3 linked regions of the Styela clava genome follow. The protein of the gene in region 2 interacts with the protein of the main gene of each other region in a pairwise test. Links are inferred from orthologs where the notes say so. Each region holds a gene or a part of one and is shown on either strand. Other genes may lie near its edges.

What was found. The genes of interacting proteins can lie anywhere in the genome.
Region 1: the proteins of uncharacterized protein LOC120344499 (region 2) and exosome complex component RRP43-like interact in a two-hybrid assay, tested with the Homo sapiens proteins (2 studies listed by BioGRID). The link is inferred for Styela clava from reciprocal best matches to the Homo sapiens genes POLDIP3 and EXOSC8.
Region 3: the proteins of uncharacterized protein LOC120344499 (region 2) and enhancer of rudimentary homolog interact in a two-hybrid assay, tested with the Homo sapiens proteins (2 studies listed by BioGRID, with this or other methods). The link is inferred for Styela clava from reciprocal best matches to the Homo sapiens genes POLDIP3 and ERH.

What each region holds. Positions count from the first base shown.
Region 1 is NC_135250.1:31,193,093-31,200,153, forward strand, and holds exosome complex component RRP43-like, read right to left. Parts: upstream 2,112-7,061; 5' UTR 2,088-2,111; coding exon 1,260-2,087; 3' UTR 615-1,259; downstream 1-614. Other genes in the region: coiled-coil domain-containing protein 174-like, read right to left, coding at 369-605; 2-(3-amino-3-carboxypropyl)histidine synthase subunit 1-like, read right to left, coding at 3,156-4,373; nitric oxide synthase-interacting protein-like, read right to left, coding at 6,564-7,061. UniProt on the Homo sapiens protein: Non-catalytic component of the RNA exosome complex which has 3'->5' exoribonuclease activity and participates in a multitude of cellular RNA processing and degradation events.
Region 2 is NC_135254.1:8,186,408-8,194,111, forward strand, and holds the start of uncharacterized protein LOC120344499, read right to left. Parts: upstream 3,073-7,704; 5' UTR 2,897-3,072; coding exon 2,832-2,896; intron 2,160-2,831; coding exon 1,775-2,159; intron 994-1,774; coding exon 829-993; intron 639-828; coding exon 581-638; intron 1-580. Other genes in the region: uncharacterized protein LOC120345080, read right to left, coding at 5,256-5,312, 6,525-6,685, 7,013-7,103, 7,654-7,704. UniProt on the Homo sapiens protein: Is involved in regulation of translation. Is preferentially associated with CBC-bound spliced mRNA-protein complexes during the pioneer round of mRNA translation. Contributes to enhanced translational efficiency of spliced over nonspliced mRNAs.
Region 3 is NC_135254.1:14,324,731-14,331,907, forward strand, and holds enhancer of rudimentary homolog, read right to left. Parts: upstream 3,115-7,177; 5' UTR 3,000-3,114; coding exon 2,909-2,999; intron 1,003-2,908; coding exon 785-1,002; 3' UTR 357-784; downstream 1-356. Other genes in the region: alpha-1,3-mannosyl-glycoprotein 2-beta-N-acetylglucosaminyltransferase-like, read right to left, coding at 6,230-6,500, 7,052-7,164. UniProt on the Homo sapiens protein: May have a role in the cell cycle.

The sequences.
Region 1 (7,061 bases), on a different chromosome or scaffold from region 2:
TTCGTGAGATATCGCGTTCATCTAACAGACAGACAGATACCTATCAACATACTTACCAATCTTAAGATCGATAGGTAATAAGACGGTGACCTAAGCTTAGTGCATTGCATGTGAATAAAACCTATCTTTGAGCAAAGTCACATGCACTCACTCAAAGTAAAGGATACTCATATCTGAGCAAAGTTACAAACAGTCACTCTGGAGTAAAAGAGACTCATCTCTGAGCAAAGGTAAAGAAATCAGCACATAATAGAAAAATTTTCTTCCAGGGAATGCAAAACCTATAACCTCATCTCCAATAATCGCAAAAAACAACAAATCCGAAAAGAAGGTATAATAGTTTTTATTACAAAAGAATTCATTTTCACCTCCAGCACAGATTTCACCATTTTCCCTTTATCTATTTCTTCAGATGTTTCGGCAATATCTCTTGCGTTACGTTCTTCAACTCCCGGATTCTTCTCATTTTCAGGTACTTTCCCCTCCCCATTTGAAGAACTTTTCAATTTATGTTGTTTTCTGATTGCCGATGTAACTATTTGACCAGATTTCTTTGAAGTCACCTCCTGTTGTTTTTTAAACAGTTCCGATTTTAAACTGAACATGTTTGTTAGCTAAGAAAGGAAGTTGGCAATGATTAGAAAGAGCATAAAGAGGGTGTTTGCTCACACAGAGTCTTGTTTAGAGTGTAAAAATAGTGCACAAAAAGCATAGCATGAACGTATGATTGGATTTGCATAGAGGAAGCTTAAAGTCCCCTATGGAAAATTTGGTTTGCAGTGGAGAGAGAAAGCAATAGAGTGCTGAGGTTCAATACGATAGATACAACAAATAAGATTTCCCTTGAAAACGAACACCACGCTTACGGCGAAAAGTGGCTATTATTCAGGATTATTCAAAAATCAGACGAAAAGGTATTCAAATACTTTGATATTTATTTGATTCGTTTTGGGCAAACCTGGTGATAATTAGTTAAATAAATATTTGTTTGAGTTGATAACAGAAAACTATATCGCACATGCTAACTTGCGGTTAACACAATCAAACTTTACTACCAAACGCAGAGATATATTGACATATAAAGCCACACCTCTCCTTACATATACCTCATGTTCAAGTCAGGAAAGAGAATATTCACGTTACCAGCCTATTCATATGAGCACCTTGTACCTACTGGTCAGTTTTAATTAGGATATTTATTCTAAAATCCTTCATTTATGCAAATTTTGCTTTAGTTTATTATTATCAGAATAAAAATATTATTGAAATTGTTGCAGCAATGAGTGCAACTTTTGACCGTTCCGCGTTGCTGCTTTTATACATTTTTCTAATTGTTTGTCTCTGAGGGGGAACCCCCCAGGCCTGTGAAGATGACACAATTTGCCTTGGTCATCCGTTACTATGGTAACTACTCCCGATGTCATTTCCTCTTCCTTCAAAGTTGGGTCAGCAATTAGATGAGTAGAGTCGAATAACACAAAAGTTGAAGAAACTAGCCTTTTTCGAACTATCAACTTTGACCTCTGTTCCGGGTCAGCGAGCGTCTCTATGACATCATTTTCTTCATTGTATTTTATTTTTGGCAACGTTGTGCTCTCGAGAGCGGCCACTAAAGCCATTATACAAGCATCATTTAAATTTCCATCGTAACTCAAACAAACAACATCACAATATAAAACCCAGACCAGTTTGTCTTTAAAAATACATAATTCATCAAGATTTATGACATCACAAGTCTTTATGATGTCATTAAGAAGTTGGCTCGCAACTTGTGCTTGTTCGGACGGTGGACCGGGTTTGAAATGAGCCGCACACATCGGTGATAAGTCCACATTCGGAACAATAATTCCACAATCTGGTTTCGAAGCAGGGGGTTTCGTAAGTTCACCTTTGACCCCACAAACGACCATGGTATTTCCCATTTGCACAAGAGCAGAGCCGTCCGCTGTACTAATAGATCCAACGTTAATTGTCATTTTTCTAAATTTTCCAAGATCTCTTCCGTCCGGTCGCACGTCATTTTTCAATACCTCTTTGTAATGTTCCAAAGGCAATGAAGCTTCAAAATTACTTGTAATATCTTCCATAGTTAAATTAGTTACGTAGAAAATCTAAAATGAGAAAAAGCACAAAAATTGTAGCATTTAAATTATAAATAATGTTACATTTTTGAAAAAAAATCTTCTAATAGCATCGCAAACTCACTCAGAAGTAATAAAGATATTCCGAATTGGGTCATGCTCAAGAGAGAACACACAGAAGTCAATGCATATTTGAAAAGTTTGAATTTGGAAATGCACTAAAGATGGCTTCCTTGTTCGTATCGTGAGACCTCAAATGCTCAAAGAAACTATTCAAAATTAAAACAAATAATTGAGCAAAATGGCAAAATAATATTTGAAAAATTAAAATTTACCAACTTGATGCAGTAATAACTAGGGCTGGGCAATTTCGAATACCTGATGATTTCAGAATCGAATCGAATCTTTTTTTCTAATCGAATCTCGAATACTTGGGTCAATGGGAGATATGTAATTGTATGCGACTTTTTTTTATTGTAATTGGTCCTGTCAACAAATGAATTACTGAAAACATAGAATACGTCACTCAGACAGATTGCGAAGCGTTCACACACAATGAGAAACACTATTTATCAATACCTCACTACAGAAAATAGTCATATGTCAACAATGCATTGAAAAAATATGATTTCAATAAAAAAAAAATGGATAATTCACCTGACCATGGTCGAAAAGAACAAAAACAAGATGGCGGCGATTCAAAATTTTGCTTTGAACCGATTCGAATAATTTACTATTCGAATCGATTTGAAGTGCCCAGCCCTAGTAATACCTCTAAGTAAACCTTAATTTGAAACCTGACCTCCCACAGATCTGATATTTCACTTTAGGTTTCTAACTTGGATGGGAATATTGTACTTGAATATTCAGAAAGTGACTCATATACCAGTGTAGGCGGTCAGTTAATTACATAATACACTTAGCTATTTTAATAGCTAAATATCTACCACCTCTTAGATTTGGAAACACCCCCCTAAAATAAAAAGTTAAAAAGCTTATTACTTTACACAGATGACCTAAGACTCGATGGGTATTTCAGTAAAGTTTAAAAACTAGTGCCAGATTAGCTTTATATCAAGTGGCTTTGACAACTTTACTTTTAACCTCTCTTGGAGGCTGATAATTTGGAGTCCAGGGTCCTTTAGATTGACGAGCATAAAAATCCATAGGGTAATTCCCCTCCCACGGTTCTATGTCTTTGATTGCCACAGCAGCCTCGTACGGGGTCAAGAGGGGTGTGTCAAAGGCAAGGCCCCAATCAATGGACAAACGGGGGCAAGCAATTTGAACCCATGCTCCAACATCAGGAAATAGTTTTAATTTTGACGGAAAAATTTCTGAAAGTAAGATTTTTACAACTCTTCGTCCAGAGTTAAGAATTCGCTCTTCTAAATGGTCCAGAACAGTCGTAGATCCCTGGCGTCCCAAGGTACCTAAAATCAGCCCCCACGTTTCAGCTTTTCGTGCTTTCTCGATCGCGTTTCTTCGCACTTTCTGCATAGCTAAATGGTCGTACTTTTCGATCGTAAAAGTCTTTGCATATGGGTCATATTTGTAAGCCGGAATTTCTGGATTTGAAATCATCATAGATTCGAGATGAAACCTGCCGTCTCCGAGATAAATCACAGCGTCACATTTCACATCGCCAACATTCGGCGAAGTACAACCAAGAATTTCACCAGGCGTCAACGGTTTGATTTGTGGTATATTAACATTAAAACCATCCTTCATCAATTGGTTTTTGACTGCGTGTAGAGTAGCGACAAATTGCACGGTGCTGACTAGATACAACGCTTGTTCACGTGTAAAATTTTCTCTCACTGTCGCCATCAAATGTTCAATATCAATCTTAATATCAACGAAAATATATAACATTTTGATATCAGGCATATTGTTGATAGGTATGAGGCAGCTATGGCCATAGTGAACCATGAAGTCACACTCCAGCGCACGTGCAGAAAAATCATCAACGCAGCATGCTCCGTATGTTGTGTCACCCATTATGACAGTTTCCGCTTGAGTGAATTCCTCTATGATGTCAGAAATGGTACAAGCGAACATCAAAAGTCCGTCAGGAAATTGTAAAGCGACGCGTTTTGCTCCGTTCTGCCTGATCCGCCATATTGTTTTGTGAATTTCAAAATTGTAATTTGAAGGAAGATTTGAAATTGCAGCAGCCAATGAGGAGTCTTCTAGAATTTCAGCTGGAATTTGATTGGCTGTTATTCTAGATTTTGGCCCAACCCGTTTTCTTGTTGGATTAGCTTTAACAACTGCAGTTTGATTTTCCATTTTAAATAAATATAAACCTATATTTAGATAAATAATCTAGTGTAAAAACAATGATTTTATATTGAAAATGAAAAAAAGTTCAACTTCACAAACTGTGATAGAAGCTTCCATATTTATACTCAGGGAGGGGGAATGCAATAAGACAGCTCACTTATTGGCAGACCAAGGCGTTGGTCCTGTTACCAGCTCAGGTTACACATAGAGATGATTTATTTACCAGTTAAGTACTCCAGATGCATAGACTGACTAAATAGATATAACCTCACAGATGATCTCAGGGCAGTGGCATCAGAGTTTGTCATATTTTTATTGAAATTAGGGCGCTCCAGAAGTGTGTGTATCAATATGGAAGTAACTAATTTTGTTCGCATACTTTACATCAAGTTGTGTAAAGGGACTGAAACCTATAGGCAGGGGATATATTCACTTGGCTAACACAGACAGTCCCGATCTCGTAATGGAACTAAAATAAGAAAAATCTGAATAAAATTATGACCTGACCCTACCCTGGTACACACACAACGAGAGTACCACATTTATGGCATAAATACCGATCCAACTCTAATAGAGATAGAATAGAATAATATAGCAAACAACTATAATGACTTTATATTGAAAATGAGAATAAAAAATAAAGTTAAAGAACTAATGTGAGAAGTCTGTGGGGAGCATGGACAATTTTTTGAGAGAACAAGAGTAAAAATATTTCTTAGATTTTATATTGTCCGTCTTACTTTGGATATTTACATTTCAAAAATTTTCATTGATATTATTATTTATGTTCCATTCACGTATTTTTTGAATGAAACATACTCCCGCCTTACTAGCTGTTATTTGTAGCCTCTTGTTAGTTAGTTATTTTTGAGAGGGGGACCTGACAAATTCTAAAAAGTGGGTGTGGCTTAAAAAGAGCAACTATTTTTCCACAACTCTCATAGTCATATGGCACATACAGTACGGCACACTATACAAATCGAGTGACATTGCCTCGTTTCTGAGAAACCCATTTTACAGATGATCAGACACCCCTTCTTTGGGAGACGTCTGGACATTGTTGTCCCTCAATATCGGTAATAATACTGTATAATGAAGTTGCGCAAAATACTACAAAAAAGCGCACTTCAGTAACGTCATCATTGAATTCCTTGGAAAAAAATAATCCGATTTACCGAAGGAAAAAAAATTTGACCGTAGCATTCGAGAGTTTTTAGCAAAAACGGCAATTTTGGTCATGTGACGCCCACGATTATTTTAGATTATTATCGAGACAAGCATGGCACGATATGAAGCATCTGACGTGGTCCCAGACGCCCCTCGTTGGTGAGACACATAGAGTGTTTGTTTCATTGAGCCAAATGAGGGGGAAATTCTTGGAATTTGGATAGTGTGCTGTAACGACATATGTCAAAAATACAGACTTACAATGGTAATAATCGACTAAATCGACTAAAAAATCCTTCACAACGGATATTCAAAGGTTTCGTTGCAGTCGGGAGTTGTAGCCAAAACTTCCCAGGGGGGACCAGAAGCCAAAACTTGCCCACCTAGACTGGCGGGCCATGTGAGTGAAACATAAAAAATTACATTTTATGAACAATATCTACAGTATCACAAAAGCAAACATGTAAAACAATAAGCTTCATGCCCAAACTAAATTTACTCACAATCTCAACAAATCCTGAGCTTTTTTTTTTGCTAAAACATCAAAATTTGGTTTTAGTTTGGTTGTGGCAGCATCAGGTGGGCCAGACAGAATCACCCAGCAGTCGTAGTTTGTCCATGTCATATTTAGAGTCATTTCCAACGTATACTCGACTAAAACATGTGTTTTGTGTCGAAGTGGAAACGCCAAAAAGTTTCAAAAATAGTGATTAAGATTGGGATTTTATACTGTCTGGGTAGAATATTTGGTGCTCCAAAAGTGTGTGTACCAATATGGAGGTAACTAATTTTGTTCGGCTACTTTACATCAAGTTGGGTAAAGGAACTGAAACCTATGTGGTATATTTACTTGGCTGACACAGACAGTCTCCGAACTCATAACAGAACTAAAATAAAGAAAATCGGAAAAAAATTGTGGGATAACCCCAACCTGGTACACACCACTACGGCAGTACCAAATATTCAATGGAGGAAATTTTCGTTGGAGCTTTCAGAAAGAGAGATTTTTTTTAGAAATTTTCACTCAAACTAAACATGCATGGAAGGTCTGTATTTCTTAACGTCCAGAGATTCGTTCGTCTGAGAAAAACCAGTCCCGCCACGTTGCAACGGAATAATATCTCGTTTTTCATCTAAAATTTCATTGGTTATAGGGTGTCTCATTTCGTTTGGTTTAATTAATTTTTCAACACAATCTGCAGTAACGACGTCGCCCGTCGGACGCAAAACAACCGACGGTACAGAGTTCCCTAAAGTGTCATGGGTGACTGCACACATCCAACGGTCCTTTTTACTAATTAGCGCAGTTTTTGTGTCCCGATCAGCAATTGGTGTAAATTTCACCGGTATTAAATCTTTCATTTTGATCGAAGTGTTATTTATCGGACAATACACCTTCGAACTTGGTTTTTTAAAACGACTTTTGCTTGCCGCTGGCGTTAGCTGCGGGATCCAGAAGCTTGTTAATTCTTTCTTTTTATCTCCGTAAAGGTTGCTCAATTCCGACTGCCCGTTTGATTTACTTGT
Region 2 (7,704 bases):
GTGGTAACCTTGTAGTCAAACATATTTCATTCAGGATTGATGTCCGACTACCAAACTGTCGACTATCATTGCATAAAATAAGCAAAATATAGGTTTTTTTCTGATTTACGATTTATCCAGAATTTAATTCCGGTAATTTAATTAATAATTAATATCCGGTAATTTAATTCTCAGAGAAAATATCTTGTTCATCAATATCATCACCACAAATATTTTCTTATCAATTAGGAGTGTGAATGAGAAATGAGAGATGTTTTCCAAGACATTGCTGACCACCAGATCGCTGAAATGCAATTGCAGAATCGCCACACAGTGCGCAACTTCCAATTTTGATGACGTCATCTCATCACACAAAATTTTAAAGTGAAAAACGAATCCAATAAAGCCCCCAGAAATTTTTTAAATGAACAAGAGTGATAGCGACAAAAACAATCTTTGACTTTAACCACTGAGAATTTGAAAGCAATTGGTCAATTAGTTTGAAAGAAAAGCGATTTTTTCACAACAAGAAAAATATCAACAACAACAGCAACGTAACAAAACGATCCATGATAGACGCTGATTCTGAGGAAATACTTACTAATTGTAGCAGGTCTTGGTGCCGGTGGTGGTGATGAACGTCTTGGGGGTGGAGATTTCTGGATAAAAGGAATCATTTCAAATAAATTAAAAATGGAGAATTTCTATTAAAAGTTTTAATATGTTATAACAAAGAAATGAATTCTTTGCTTCGAAAGACAAGTTTGACAAAAACATTCTACAATTTCAATTTTACTATTTATGATTTATTTAAAATTTTCCTGAACAGTATAAATAAAAACAACTTACCCTTCTGATTGCGTCTTTATTTACAGTTGTTATTTTCAATTTTTCATATTGTTTTTTCGTTGTTGGCCATGGCGGTACACTTGATCTCGCACTGGATGTTGCAAGTTCATTTATAACCGCAATTTTTATTCCAGCACCTAGTCTCTGATTTACAGTGTTACCATTCTGAAAGAAAACATTATATTATAACTCAAAACTTCTGATTATTATTGTTGTTTTTGTTAACACACAATTAGATGAAGAATTAGCCATTTGATTGTAAATAAAAACTTTGAGGTCCAAAACATTACTAATGAATAGTTTTATCTTCTATTGAAATATTTCAGTTCTACTGGATTCCAGTTTCAAAAATTTGCCTCACAAATATATTTCCAGCGTATAAAAAATTTGTCTGATTCAAACACCATTGAGCATAACTCAATTTATCGAAGGGAAAACAGAATTCAAATGTTGACATTTAATTTGAATATTGTTTTATCTAACACAGCAAAGAATAAGTATCCCTAAGATCATAGCATTCATATAATTCCAATTTCCAGGTACTCAGTGATCTGCTATTATGAGTAAAGGTGTAGGCCATAATGATAGCACAGACATGGGAATATTTATATAACAGTTCCATATTTAATGATTATTGGTTCAATCAAATACTGAATAAAATGAATAAGAAATTTTCTAAGCATGTTGTTATTAAATAACGAAAAAATTAAAAGCGGCAAACTTTTAAACATTCATGATAGTTTTTTTTTTTGTATTGTCATTATACCTAAGATGTACAAAATCATTTTCCAGTTACTTATACTGTTTAACATACCATAACATATAATGTTTACGGTTCCATTACATTTGAACCCACGTACATTTGAACCCATGACAATTGCACCTGTATGCTATTGCACCTATGGAATTTTTTTTGTTTCACGGATAGTTATCGAAAAATACTCACTCTATTATTACTTGAATGACCGAGAGTCGACCTTGTTTTATTTCCTTGAGCAACATGGAAAGTAATGTTGGGCAATTGATGAGGCTTTTGCAAAGCTAGTTCATTTGGAATTGTAACTTTGGGTATTCCCCCGACATGTTTTTGTGGTGCAGGGCGTGCTTGATTGTGTTTAGCTTCTATCTTCTGTCGAGCATCAACAATTTGCTTTGGCTTAATTTTTTGCCGAGCATCAGTTATTGTGTTCTTTGATTTTATAAAGAGTCGTGCATCGACAATTTTTTTTCGGTTTTGTTGCCTCGCAGACTGAAGTCTCTTTTTCTGAAAAGCCAAATTTGGCCTCATTCCTTTATCACTATACATTCCTCTTGCACTGGGTTTCTTGCTTCTGTGGTAAAATAAATACAATGAAATATTTTGGAAGTATTGAACCTGTTAAAGTCATAACTGAGCACGAAGCATTGTAAATATCAAGCAAAGTAACCGAATCACGAATTTAAGGCTTTCAGCAGTTCAGACTCGTCAGTTAGTGCATCAGGCTAACTAACCACTACAGCACTAGGAATCAGGTTGCCAGACTGCCCTTATGCACAGATTAACAAAGGCAATATAACATTAGCCCTACACTCATAAAAGCATATTTCACCATATATTTCAGTGATATCTGGATATCAATCACCCCAAATCAAAAAATATAAACTAGGAAAGAATTGTACATAGTGTAAATAGTTAACAAAGATGAGAGGTAATGATATAATCCACATTGAACCTGTTAAATTATTTTATTACTAATTCTATTGGGTGGCAACTGAATCTGATGACCCCAAAAGGGGGTATCGTTGCCTCCCAGTCATATATATACCTATATACGAAAAGCATGAATCTGTATATTATTTTGATTTGTATGTATTTATATATTGTGTTTTCTTGGTTTGGCAAATGTAATAAATCTCTCTCTCTCTCTACTGTAGTCACAATTTGCAGTTTTATTGGTGGCTAAATTCATTATTACCGTACCGCTGTATCAAGCAAACTTCAAAATTAATGATAATAAACTCACCTTATTTTCTTTGCAGTCTTTCTCTCCTTTATAATTTCATCCAAGGATTGATCTACCAATCCCATCACCTGATCACAGAATACTGGAATAGTCCAATAGGTTTCTGTATTTCAATATTCGTACCTTGAAAATTACGGTATCCAGACACCGGTATCCTTGTTTCAACTGATAAATAGGCCTAGCCTAGTGTAGTAGCCTATAATGGTATATATCTATGCCCTACCCGTGTATCTAGGCTTTACTAAATAGAAAAAAATGAATAAAAACAAAAAGTTCGTCGGTTTTTGTGGTCACATTTACAGTTTTATACGGTACCAACAATGTACGGTACGGGTACTGACTGCTGGACTGGGAAGGCCTTCGGGTCTAATTACAGGATTGAAGAGTTGTCTGTTTGTATATTCTATTATTATAACAATGCTCGTTTTCTTCTGGTTGGCGAAATACCGTATCGCACCGTAATAAATCTTCGCCGCATTTTCTACGGCGACGTTGAGCCTGTCTGTCTTCACTACAGGGCTCCAAATCCAATGGACGTTTCCCTGATCCTTGACCCGAGAAAAATTCTATTTTACTTTACTGCAGTACTGCACAAATTTTTATCTTATAAATAGGTTTACGCGTCCGGAACCTTCAAATGAAATTATTAGACAACCTTCCATTTCTTTGAGGGGTGGCTCATTTTGATAAGAAGAAAAAATAAACTTGACTTTATAATGCGCCGGGAAGGCCAGGGTTTCTGGCAAATGTACTAGCATTTTTTTCGTAGATAAAAAACAAAAACTTGTACACGGTCTCATTCCAAGTGAAAGATGCGATGAACTGTCGTATAAAATACCGTTAAAAGGATCACTTCCGATTAGCAATTAGGAAGAGTGCATTGATTTAAACACCCACAACCCAGGGTTGATCGATATAAAAAGGCAAGAAATTATTTATTCCGATACCTGCCCCTTGTGGGTCATTTCGAGGTAATATGTGAACCTTACCTCATAGAACACAGCGAGCGTTCCTATTTATTTATTTTAGATGACGAGATTGAATGAATGAAATGTCTGTGGTGGGACTCTGAGCTCGCTTGTATAGAAAAGTTACTGCCTGGTACATATATTATATGTTGAGTATTATCACACATTCAACTAAGAACCCATGCATTCAATAAACTAAAAAAAAAACTGACCATACAAAAAACCAGCTTGCTTCAACTAGACATATATATTTCTTTCTATATCTACACAGTGCATCGAATTAAACTACAAAATAATACAAACACAGATTGTCAGTCACTGTTATAACATACATGCATAGGAAAAGATGAAACTTGGGTCTACCAGTCCCATTTTCATAACTGATTTTAAAAAAGAATGAGATATGATGTAGATACATCTTTGCTTCAAAACAATGTTTCCCGACTACACTTGGAAACATTGAATTATCCAAAAACCTGTAACATATACTTTAAGACATGCTGTTGTGGAGGGGAGATAATGTTAAGCTCCAGAATAACTGTTTTTCGTGCCAAGATATTCGAGTGGAATGCACGAGATTATGACACTCCACAAATCTGTACTCGCTAAATCAAAATGGGATTTTATTTGAATCCACCATAAAAATGAAATTACAACGCATGCGAACATGGAACAAAGTAGAAAAAATGGTTATTTCATGGAGCATGGATATGACCATAGGCCAGGAACCCAAATAAAGTTGCATTAAAGTAGAAACCCAAATGGAAGATATTCAAAGCAGTTACAATAATTTATTTCCTCATAATTAAGCACTATGCATTAAGATATATGCATGACAAAAAAGTTCCTATATTTATGTACTATGTTCCATTTGAAGACGTGCCGAGCATGTATGGGGACAAAAAGAATTGCAAAACATAACATAAACAAAGGTAACCAAAAAATCGTAGTATACATTGACAGAGATGGTATTATATAAAATTCCAAGGGAAGACAAAAATGATAGATAGCCATGGAAGACTGTGAACAATAGGTTTAATAAAATTGCTACAAAATCACCATAAAGGCACCTCAGCTACTAACTTCATGAATGCAGTGGTAAAGTAATATTTCTATGCATAAACTTAATAATTTTTTTAAATTTAACATTGAAAAAACACAGTAATAAAAAGCTCTAATTACACATCAAATACTATGCCAAAATCATAATACAATGCATGTGTGTACCAATAATTCAGTATTCTTTTCTCGAATGAATGAGATAGAAATACAAGTTAATAAAACACTCTTAATAAATTTCCCAACAGCTATCTAACACTGGAACATCTTAAAAACTATCTTTTAACCAAAAAGTGCAATCAGGTTTAATTAACAGTGGTTAAAGGCATCACAAATAAACTGCTACAGTGAGTTTCTGTACAAATTATAAAATTGATCATGGACAATGTGTGTATATTTAAGCATCTTGAGGAACTTCAATTGAAGCAGTTGCCTTCTCTTTTTGAGCCAATTCCTGTAATATGAAAGTAAAATATTTTAAAATATTCATAAAATTAAAAATATTCGAAGTGTGTTATGAATTGTCAGTGTTGATAGCCTGTCGATTCTCTTTCAGAAATTGTTCCATTCGCTAGGTATGCCACTGATAAGTGAACTACGTATTTGGTGATATTCTAAATCAGGGGTTCCCATGCTTTTTTCAGGACGATCCCAAAGACAACTTTCAAGTGTCTAGTGCGACCCCAGGTCAATATATATATTTTTCATGAAAGTTTAAGCTTCTTTCACTAGACTTTTTAGATTGGTCATGTGGTGGTATTAAGTAAAATAAGCTAAAACCAACAGTGATGTCACATTAATCACCTAAATTTTCTATAGCATAAGCATAGAGCGATGCCTATGGGCCTGTTTTACAGTAAGTCATGGTACAAACTGCTAAATTTAAGATGGTTCGTCAAATTTCAGATGTTTTGTGTACATTCATCCTCGACCATACCTCAGCGACCCCACCGACCCCATGACCTGTTTGCGACTCTACCTACTTATCATTCTGACCCAATTTGGGGTCGCAACCCCTGTTCTAAATTTACCCTCAAAATACACAGGAAGTATTGTATCCATTTTCAAGACATTCAGACTCAAACAAGGACATTTTAGTAATTTGGCAATATTTTGCATGAAAGTATCATTCACTTTATGGAGGCAAGGTAAAAGGATGAATGTAAAAATTTTGAAGAATTTGAAAATATTACATAGAAGGAGGTAGCCTACTCTGTATGTTGGTATTTAATCATTGTCTGTGTATTCACCAGGATTTTCATAAACTTAAAGGAGTTTAAAAATCAAAATCATATGTTGAGCTCTTTATCTCCTTAATTCAAATGCCCTCAATAGACAAAAGAAAAATGGGAAACCAAGACAAAATTATATTACTTCTGACAACATCTTTTGCTGTTTGAAAAACTTTTTTGTAATAAATGAGGTACATCATATGCCAAATTGAAAGGCAAATGGCGTCTTACTACATCTGTTAAATATTTAAAGGAAGGGCCTGGCCCTAGATCTCAAAATTGAGTGCCATGCACCAAGATGGCGCACAACCTGAACTTAGTATGTTAACCAAGTTAGGGTTATCAGGTTGTGCGCCATCTTGGTGCACATACTTCTGGAGCGCCCAAAATTGATCTTGAGCTTATGACCTTCCCAGATGAAAACAAATACATACATTCAATTCCTGTTCCTGAGCCATCATCCTTCTTTTCCTCGATCTTCTTGCTTTTAATTTCATTTGGAAATCTGCATGTTGTCGGGCTCTGTTTGCTTCCATCTCCTTTGAATATTCTTCTCGTTGTTTGTCATATTCTGCCATCACTACCTCAAGGTTTCCTGAGTAAAAATAATGAAAAGTTAATATAAACAAGAATCGTTATCTGGTCTAATATTCTTTAAACCCAACAGTTGTCTTTTTGTCTGAATGCACTTGATATTAAAAACATGCTCATTGTGATGCTGGACTTCTTAAAGTCAATAGCTGGACCATTTAACTCTTAACAGCTTCCACCATTCATGTACCGTTGTACCAATTTTTAATAACTGTATTGCTACATTGTTTAAAAACATTATGTTAGTTATTAAATTCAAATAAAACAATACCAATAAACAGAAACCATCAAACCATTCAATTACTAAACCAAATTCAATAAGTGACCTCACCAAAAAGTTCGTCTTCTTTAGGCGAAGGTGCCAATTCATCCAAAGGTAGCGCCATAGGTTTGTCATCTTCAACTGAAGCTGTTTCATTAGCCTGTATAACAATAGTTTGTTATTATAGAATACAGTTAACTTGGAGCATAAAATATTTCCAAAAAATAAGTTCGAGGTGACCCAAAACAAAACCCAGGGGATTATTTGGAACGAATTCTAGAGAGAAAACATAACTTTCGTACAGATTGTCCCAGATTACTAAAACATTTGGTTACAATCATACGCAAACAGAAGTTGAAAAGTTAAATAAATTGAGCTTCATTTCCATACGAGCAATTACAAAATTTATGGGTTTTGTTTTGGGGGTCATCCTTGTATTATACTGAAAAATTACAGATTGCTATTCTTTTTAAAAATGCTCAGGCATACTGGCTTCAGAATAAATTATATTGGCTATTATTGGATGATCACAATAAACTCCAGCACATCTGATGTTCATGTTAGAATTAGAAACAACAGCATTAGTTATTGATTTGACAAAACAATTGAAAAACAAGTTCAAATTTCTGTTCGCGCCACGCTTATCCCTATTCAGCATTTCCTGAAGTTTTCACAGAACACTAAATTGTATACCATCATCAGTGACTTACCTCCCCTTCCGCACTTTCCTCTTGTGCTTCTTTGATCTGTTTGTCAAGATC
Region 3 (7,177 bases), about 6.1 Mb from region 2:
AAAGCCCAATTATGGTGAACATTTCAAATATTGATCAGAGCATAGAGCCTGAAAATAGGTTGCTGAACTCTGGTGCAACTCAGATATTTGTAGGCACAATTCTCTCTGGTCAAGCTCAAATGGATTATCTGCACATGCAAATCTTTGACCAAACTTTAGTCCTTATTATCAGTTGCAATGACGTCATATACAACATCGATTTGACAGTATACAGGAGATTTCATAGCTAGTTTTCATGACATCTCATTAAATGGCCACCACATTGAGAATTGCACTACTGCAATTGATATTCTGTGAAACTCCAAATTTCTAACATTTCTCCCAACTGAAACGCATTATACAAATAAAAACGAACAAACATTTCAAATTGCTATTTACATATCAAATAACATTGCTTCCCAAACTAATTCTTCACGATGACAGCTATAAGAAATCAAAGACGATACCAACAATTAAAAACCATTGACACTACTTACACAAAGGAGATGCTTGCCTATCTTGTGTTAAAAGATAAAACAATCACAAAAATTACATTTGAGATTGAAGGACGTTCATTGGTAAGAGAAATCAAATACAGATATTGAAATTCAACTCCGTAAAGTGGTCAATAAAATTGCAAACTACATTCAATAATGTGTTATACCAGTCAATTCAAGCCTGTCAAAACAAAAGTCAATGACGGCAATCTTCAATCAAACTAAAACTAGAAATGGGTATCTATTTCTCAAGCATGATTGAAGATAGATCGTTCCATAATTCATGCCTAGTATCTTCGCTCCAATATTTATGTCTTGCCAGCTTGTTTCCGAAGGAGAATGTAGATTTTTTCTTTGATCCACTCTTTGTTGAATGGTGCGTATGTCTGGGTAGATTTTTGAAATACTAGGCAACAGAGATCAGCAAGTTCATCGATGAAATCAAACAGTTGACTGATGTCGTAAGTAATTGAAGGGCAATTGGGATTGATTCGCTTGAGATGTTCTTCATAGATCTTGCACACACCTAGAAATGTAAAATTATTTCAAAATAAAAATATTTTTGGAAAAACACATGCTAACATATTAGTACTATGTGATTGATATTTTCAATCTGTTTTATGTGAGTGAAATACACGCATACAAAAATGGACAGGTAACTGAAGTGTAGATTTCCAGCGTAATGCTTTCACCTTTGATATTGAGTAATTAATTTTATATTCTCACATTTATCCTGTGTTAACAGTAAACACATATCAGTATATAGTAACAAACCATATTTAAACGAACAAGTTTTTAATTTGAATTTTGGGTTAAATCTAGTTCAATTATAATAATTTTCCCATTATAAGCTGATATGAAAAAGTTATCTATATATTTTACAATTTATTCATCAAGGACATGCTATGAAAAATTAAAATGAATTCACATATTTGACCAGACATTTGGTTCAATAAAACAAACTCTATTTGTCTCTGGGAAGAGATCGTCTGGCATAACTGTAGTATGTAACTGTAGATGTGTCAGATCGCGCCATGCCTGTCTCAATAATACTTTTAAACCATAGCGACGTGCGCCGGCCAGCGTATGACCAAAATTGCAGTATTGTACTAAAAACTCTCAATTGCTATTTTTTTTTTTGGAGGTTATATTATTTTTTCTAAGGAAGGAATCCAATGGTGTAATTTTTTTGGTCTGCGCTTTCTATTCGTTCACTGCACAGTGGCTGTTCGTGCCAAAATGAAAGCCCAGACAGTCTAGTAAAAGAGGGGTTTGCACTCACTGGTATAATTGATGTCTTTTAATGTGGGGGCTATTCTCGACCGTCATACTGGTTTTTTTTTTTTAAATTAAATTCTCTTCTTAAAACATTAGTTTCCTAGATGTTTTGTCCTTTCTTGATGTATCGCTGTGTTTTTTTATTTAAATATCAATGTTCATTATATATGAACATTATAAAGACGAGAAACAATTATTACAATTCTTAAGTACTGGTATTTAGGCATAAAATTGATATGGCGTTCTGGAAATTGTCGAAATGCACCGGAAACTATTTTTGAGATTTCTAATACTGATAGGCCTACTTAATTCAAAGCATGAAACCATCAAGCACCATTTTCAGAAAATATTTGCTGTCTTATATGAATTATAAGCACAGTAGTTCGTATTGTATTCTGATCTGTGACTCCTGGACATCAATTGGACTTTGTATTGGGGCATTTATATAGGATAGGATTTACATATTTATCCCGGGGGGGGGGGGGGGAGGAAAGCCGATAAGATGGCTTATCAATATGGCGAACCACGGCCTCTCGTCCGGTTACCATTCCAAGTCGGGTATGGGATTAGTTTTATTGTTTGTTTTCGGAAGCATGGACTTGGTGGTGGAGGAAGCCGTAACCGACCAGCGGTTACGTGAACCACCCAACGACGGCGAGGAGTCCAGCAATCCTCTCGCACATAACCATCTCTGCATGGGATTCGAACCTGCGAACCCACGCAGAGTAATTAGAGGTGCGGTGGTGAGCGTATTCCTAACGCTTAGCCCGTTGAGCCACACCGCCGCGCAATTTGGGGCATTTATATTGGGGTCTCGTGTAGTTCCATACCTAACGTAGTTATGGCGTAGTCAGATGGCAGTTAGGATTGACATATCGAAAAATTGTTACCGGTATGCTACGCTCACTAGAAGTATGTTAGGTACGGTAGTACCGGTACGAAACTACATGAGACCCTTATACCGGTATTGTTGGTAGTCATGGTTTTTAAGCATATTAGCATTCAATAAACAGACACAATACAATAAAACAATTGATAATAACGACTCGTTACGAATTATTGAAACTGACAATGTATGCAGGTCACATTACGGTACCGTACCACATTCAGACATTATGTACTGATATGATATGTACTGATATTAGGATACTCACCCTCCATGCATTCATTCACCGATTCGTAGTCTGAATATGTCCGCCCCTCAGGCTTTTTCGTTGGCTGAACAAGAAGTATTGTGTGAGACATTTTAAATTTTCTAAAATCTGCTACGAGGAGAACAAAACCGCCTATTCCAGTATTCGCACGCAAGGAATCGACAGCAGCAGAACCCAGTCACCAGTCAGATAAGCAAGCGCCGTTTTGTCAGATTATCATATTTCAGACAAACCTAAACTACCGAATTTCATACAAATGTGTTCCGTGCGCGATGTATTTGCCCCGTAACTATGGATGTTTTCCCGAGCATCGATTTCCCTGTTATTTCCGTAACAATTACCAATCAGCAAAGAGTCAACAATGACGTAACAATTGCAATTTATGCCGCCGCTCAGACATTTCTTTCGACTAGACTAGACATATATATTCAAGCGTAGTTGTAAACATCGCCTCTTTTTAGTATAGTTCCAAAAAATATTTGTGAATCAAAAATAATTATTTAGGATAGAATAGGATTTACATATTTATCCCGGGGGAGAGGAAAGCCGATAAGACGGCTTATCCATATGGCGAACTACGGCCTCTCGTCCGGTTACCATTCCAAGTCGGGTATGGGATTAGTTATATTGTCTTTTTTCAGAAGCATGGACTTGGATAGAATGGATGGACTTGAAAGCATGGATATTTGTTATTATGTCTTCCCAACGACTAACATACCGTCTTTCAGGATCTTTAGTTTTATCAAAAATTGATATCGCAAGGTAGCAGTACATGTAAGCGGCACGTGGTTCAATCCCCGTTGACCCTATGTCTAATGGGATCCTATAGATAGTCCAATGATTTTCGCCATTTTGTGCGTGCAAACTAGATCACATCTTCACAATTTTGTCCCAAGTTGCTGAAAAGAACTGACAGCTAATTGAAAAAAGTCTTCGCCTTTCTCTATTTTGTCTTTATTTGGAAAGGGTCCTGTTTTGAGACAATTGAACACCTCAAAGAAGCATACAAAATTAGGTCTGGATGATCAATGTATAAATGATAATGCTGTTCTGGATTTCCAGCTATATCTTCAAATAAGTCCAAAAATAATAACATATCCCATACCAGTGTTAACATCAATGACGATTTTATTTCATTGGTTGTAAATATTGATGATTGTCACTGTGTTAATACTGGGTTAAGACTGGGTCTTATTTCAATCTTTCTCCGAAAAATAACACTAGGGCTTATTTTCATTTTCAAAAACAAAATTACAAAGTAGAGAACTACGGGATTTTCAAGTATACAAAACATGAAAACCGATATCCATTAAATCATAAATATAGCGTTTTTATTCAAAATAACTGCAAAACATAGATTATTAATCATTTTAAACGTGTAAGCGAGATGTCTTGCTATCGACTAGGTCAAAAAAAAAATTGCGTCATTGACTAGGTCTTATTTTAAGAGTCGGGCTTATATTAAAATCGTTTTTAAAATTCGGACTGGGTCTTATTTTCGGGGAAGTTCAGTAGTTCACGCTTGCAACAATCATGCTTTAAAACCAAGCAGGGGCGGTACGATTCAGCCTCCTACTCTTAATTTGTGATTTACCGCATAAATCTTTGACGAATGTTTTCTTTGGCATGTAAAATTTTGAATAGGATAAAGATAAACTGTTCAACTTTATCAACGGTTCAACCATCTTGAACAATCAAGATTAAACTAACAAACCTTGTACAATATATCACAAGAGCAGCTAGTTGGTCAAGGCAAACGAAGAGCATTTAAACACTGCGGAATTTGAACAAAATCGGCACAATGCTCGAATTACATGCTCACTTATTTGAAAACCCAAAGCGTCCTTGTGGTTCCATTTCCATTCCTGCCAATATTCCTATCGGGCGAACATTTTTATTAACAAATGGCGATTAAAGAGTTTTCAAGGCAGTGTTCCGTGGGAGACATTACAAAATACGCACAATCAAAAAACTTGAAGAGGTACTGTCCTAATCTCACTGCTGCAAAAGACTTAATTATGTAGATTGCACAATATATTTCAAAAGCACATTGGTAAAACTTTGGGTAGTCCTTGATCAAGATATCTTTTAAATTGCTGAATTGAGAATTATCGGCGATTTGTACAAATACAATCAGAATAAGTACTGGTCTCTAAAAATTTGATCAGATATTAACGATGCCTTGTAACAGTTGCAACTTGGCAAAAGGAGATTTGTAGATAGAATGTACATTAATCATTATATAGAAAAATTTAATAAGATTTTGTTTCTAGCGCATTTATTGATCATATTATAGCAGAGTGGCAAATGAAAATGAATATATTATCTGAGGCGACAGAAGCCTATGCCTAACATAAGTATGATCACTTTCAAAATATATCAACCACCAATTCAATGAAAATGATGAAGAAAAAATTACGTTCAATTACCGGTAGGTTTTCCTCAATAAAAACTGTTCTGGAACTGGGAGAGAATAACTGAACCAACAGGCCTGTGTTGAACAGATGATACCCAATTAACAATGTGTGTTGATTTGAAATTCATGTTGCACATTTTACATTTCATAAATCATATAATATCAACATTCAAAAATATGTCTTAAACAGTGCATGTATATGATTATCGATAATACGCAGATAATAAAAATTTCCTCACTTCACACCTTGATAAAATTAACTTCTTCACTCAGTAATACAGAGATGCCATAAAAAGTAGAAGCAAAGATGGATATAATTTTGAATTCTGTCGGAATATTTCATACAAAATCGAGGTCTTCTATACCATTTCTATATACGAAGACAAATGTATTTATATCTTCAAGAGTACTTTCGTTGGCACATTTTAAAACAGTAAAAATAAAGCACACCAAATAAAGCATAAGCCATTTGATACATTTCTACCTTTGGCGTGACCCAAAATGAATATTTTGATTGCACATAACACTATTCAATACGGTTTCACAATCTCTCGAAGACGTTCAAATTCTAAGTAAAGAGTATGTTATATAGACACGATTTGGGGGGGGGTCGGTAGGTGTTTTTAGGTATGACCGAATTGCCCCTAGGGATTGTCACAAAATGACTTGCAACTACGACCTTTGCTCTTGAATATTATTCTCCTAATTGTGCTTAATATAAATAATTCAGGAAATTTTTTATTTCAAAATGGTAGAAAATCGCATGGCAAACAATCAAATCGCAACGCATGACAATGGCTAAAACATTCCCACTCGGATAATTCGGCATTTAAAATTTGAGTATTATTGCAACTGATACTGCATACATGAAACAATGTTGACCAATACCACTCAAACGCTAAAAATCATGACCAGCTTTCAACATAACCAGTCCAATCTACAGGAGGAGCAAGATAAACTCTTCTACCTCTGAAAATAGTGGTTACAATACCCATATATGCTGTCCTTGGCACCCCTTTTTTAAAATCGGACATAAGTCCAAGCTCCTTAGCAAAAGCTTTAAAAGTATGTGACATTGTGTATTCAATTCGAACTTCACGAGAGTCTGGATCTTTATTTTCTTTAAGATCGCTGATTCGAAACAGTGGAAGGTTGTATACTTTATCTTTGAAAGATCTTGAAATATAAAAAAAAAGAAATGCAAGTCTACTAATCATGAATAAAGAGAGGAAAAACTCTAAAATGAGGTAGGAAATTATTGTCAAAACACATGATTTAGAATCGTGTAGAAAAAGAGTTTTTTTTGTGAGCTATTAGTCAAGTATAACATCACACCAGTTGGGAATTATATACAGATTAATATTCAATTCGGAGAAACCGCATATATCTAAATGCACAAAAAAAAACAAAGCCTGACCACTTAGACAACGAATTAGCGTAAGTATATGGCTTCTGCATGTCAGAATATTGTTGCATGTTAGATTTTAATTGATGCCATTTCGGCAGAGGGTAGAACAGTACAGCTTTTAAATTATTTCACAAATATAATATAAAGATTAGTCGGAATGTTATCAGACAAGCAAATATAAAACACATCTCCCTAACCGTTGGTTGGTAATTACTAATAGAGCGGCTTGACAAAACATTACTTACTATCTTATACATTCATAATTAATATAAAATAGAACCTTTGAGCTTGAATAGACTTCAATAAGGTAAAAACATACTTATCATAATTATCTTTAACGAGGTACGAGAGATCTTTTGTCGACCAGTCGACTGGAAATTCATTTAACTTGATATATTTCAAGTGAGTATCAAAGAACTGTCCAGCACTGACCTGTACAAACATA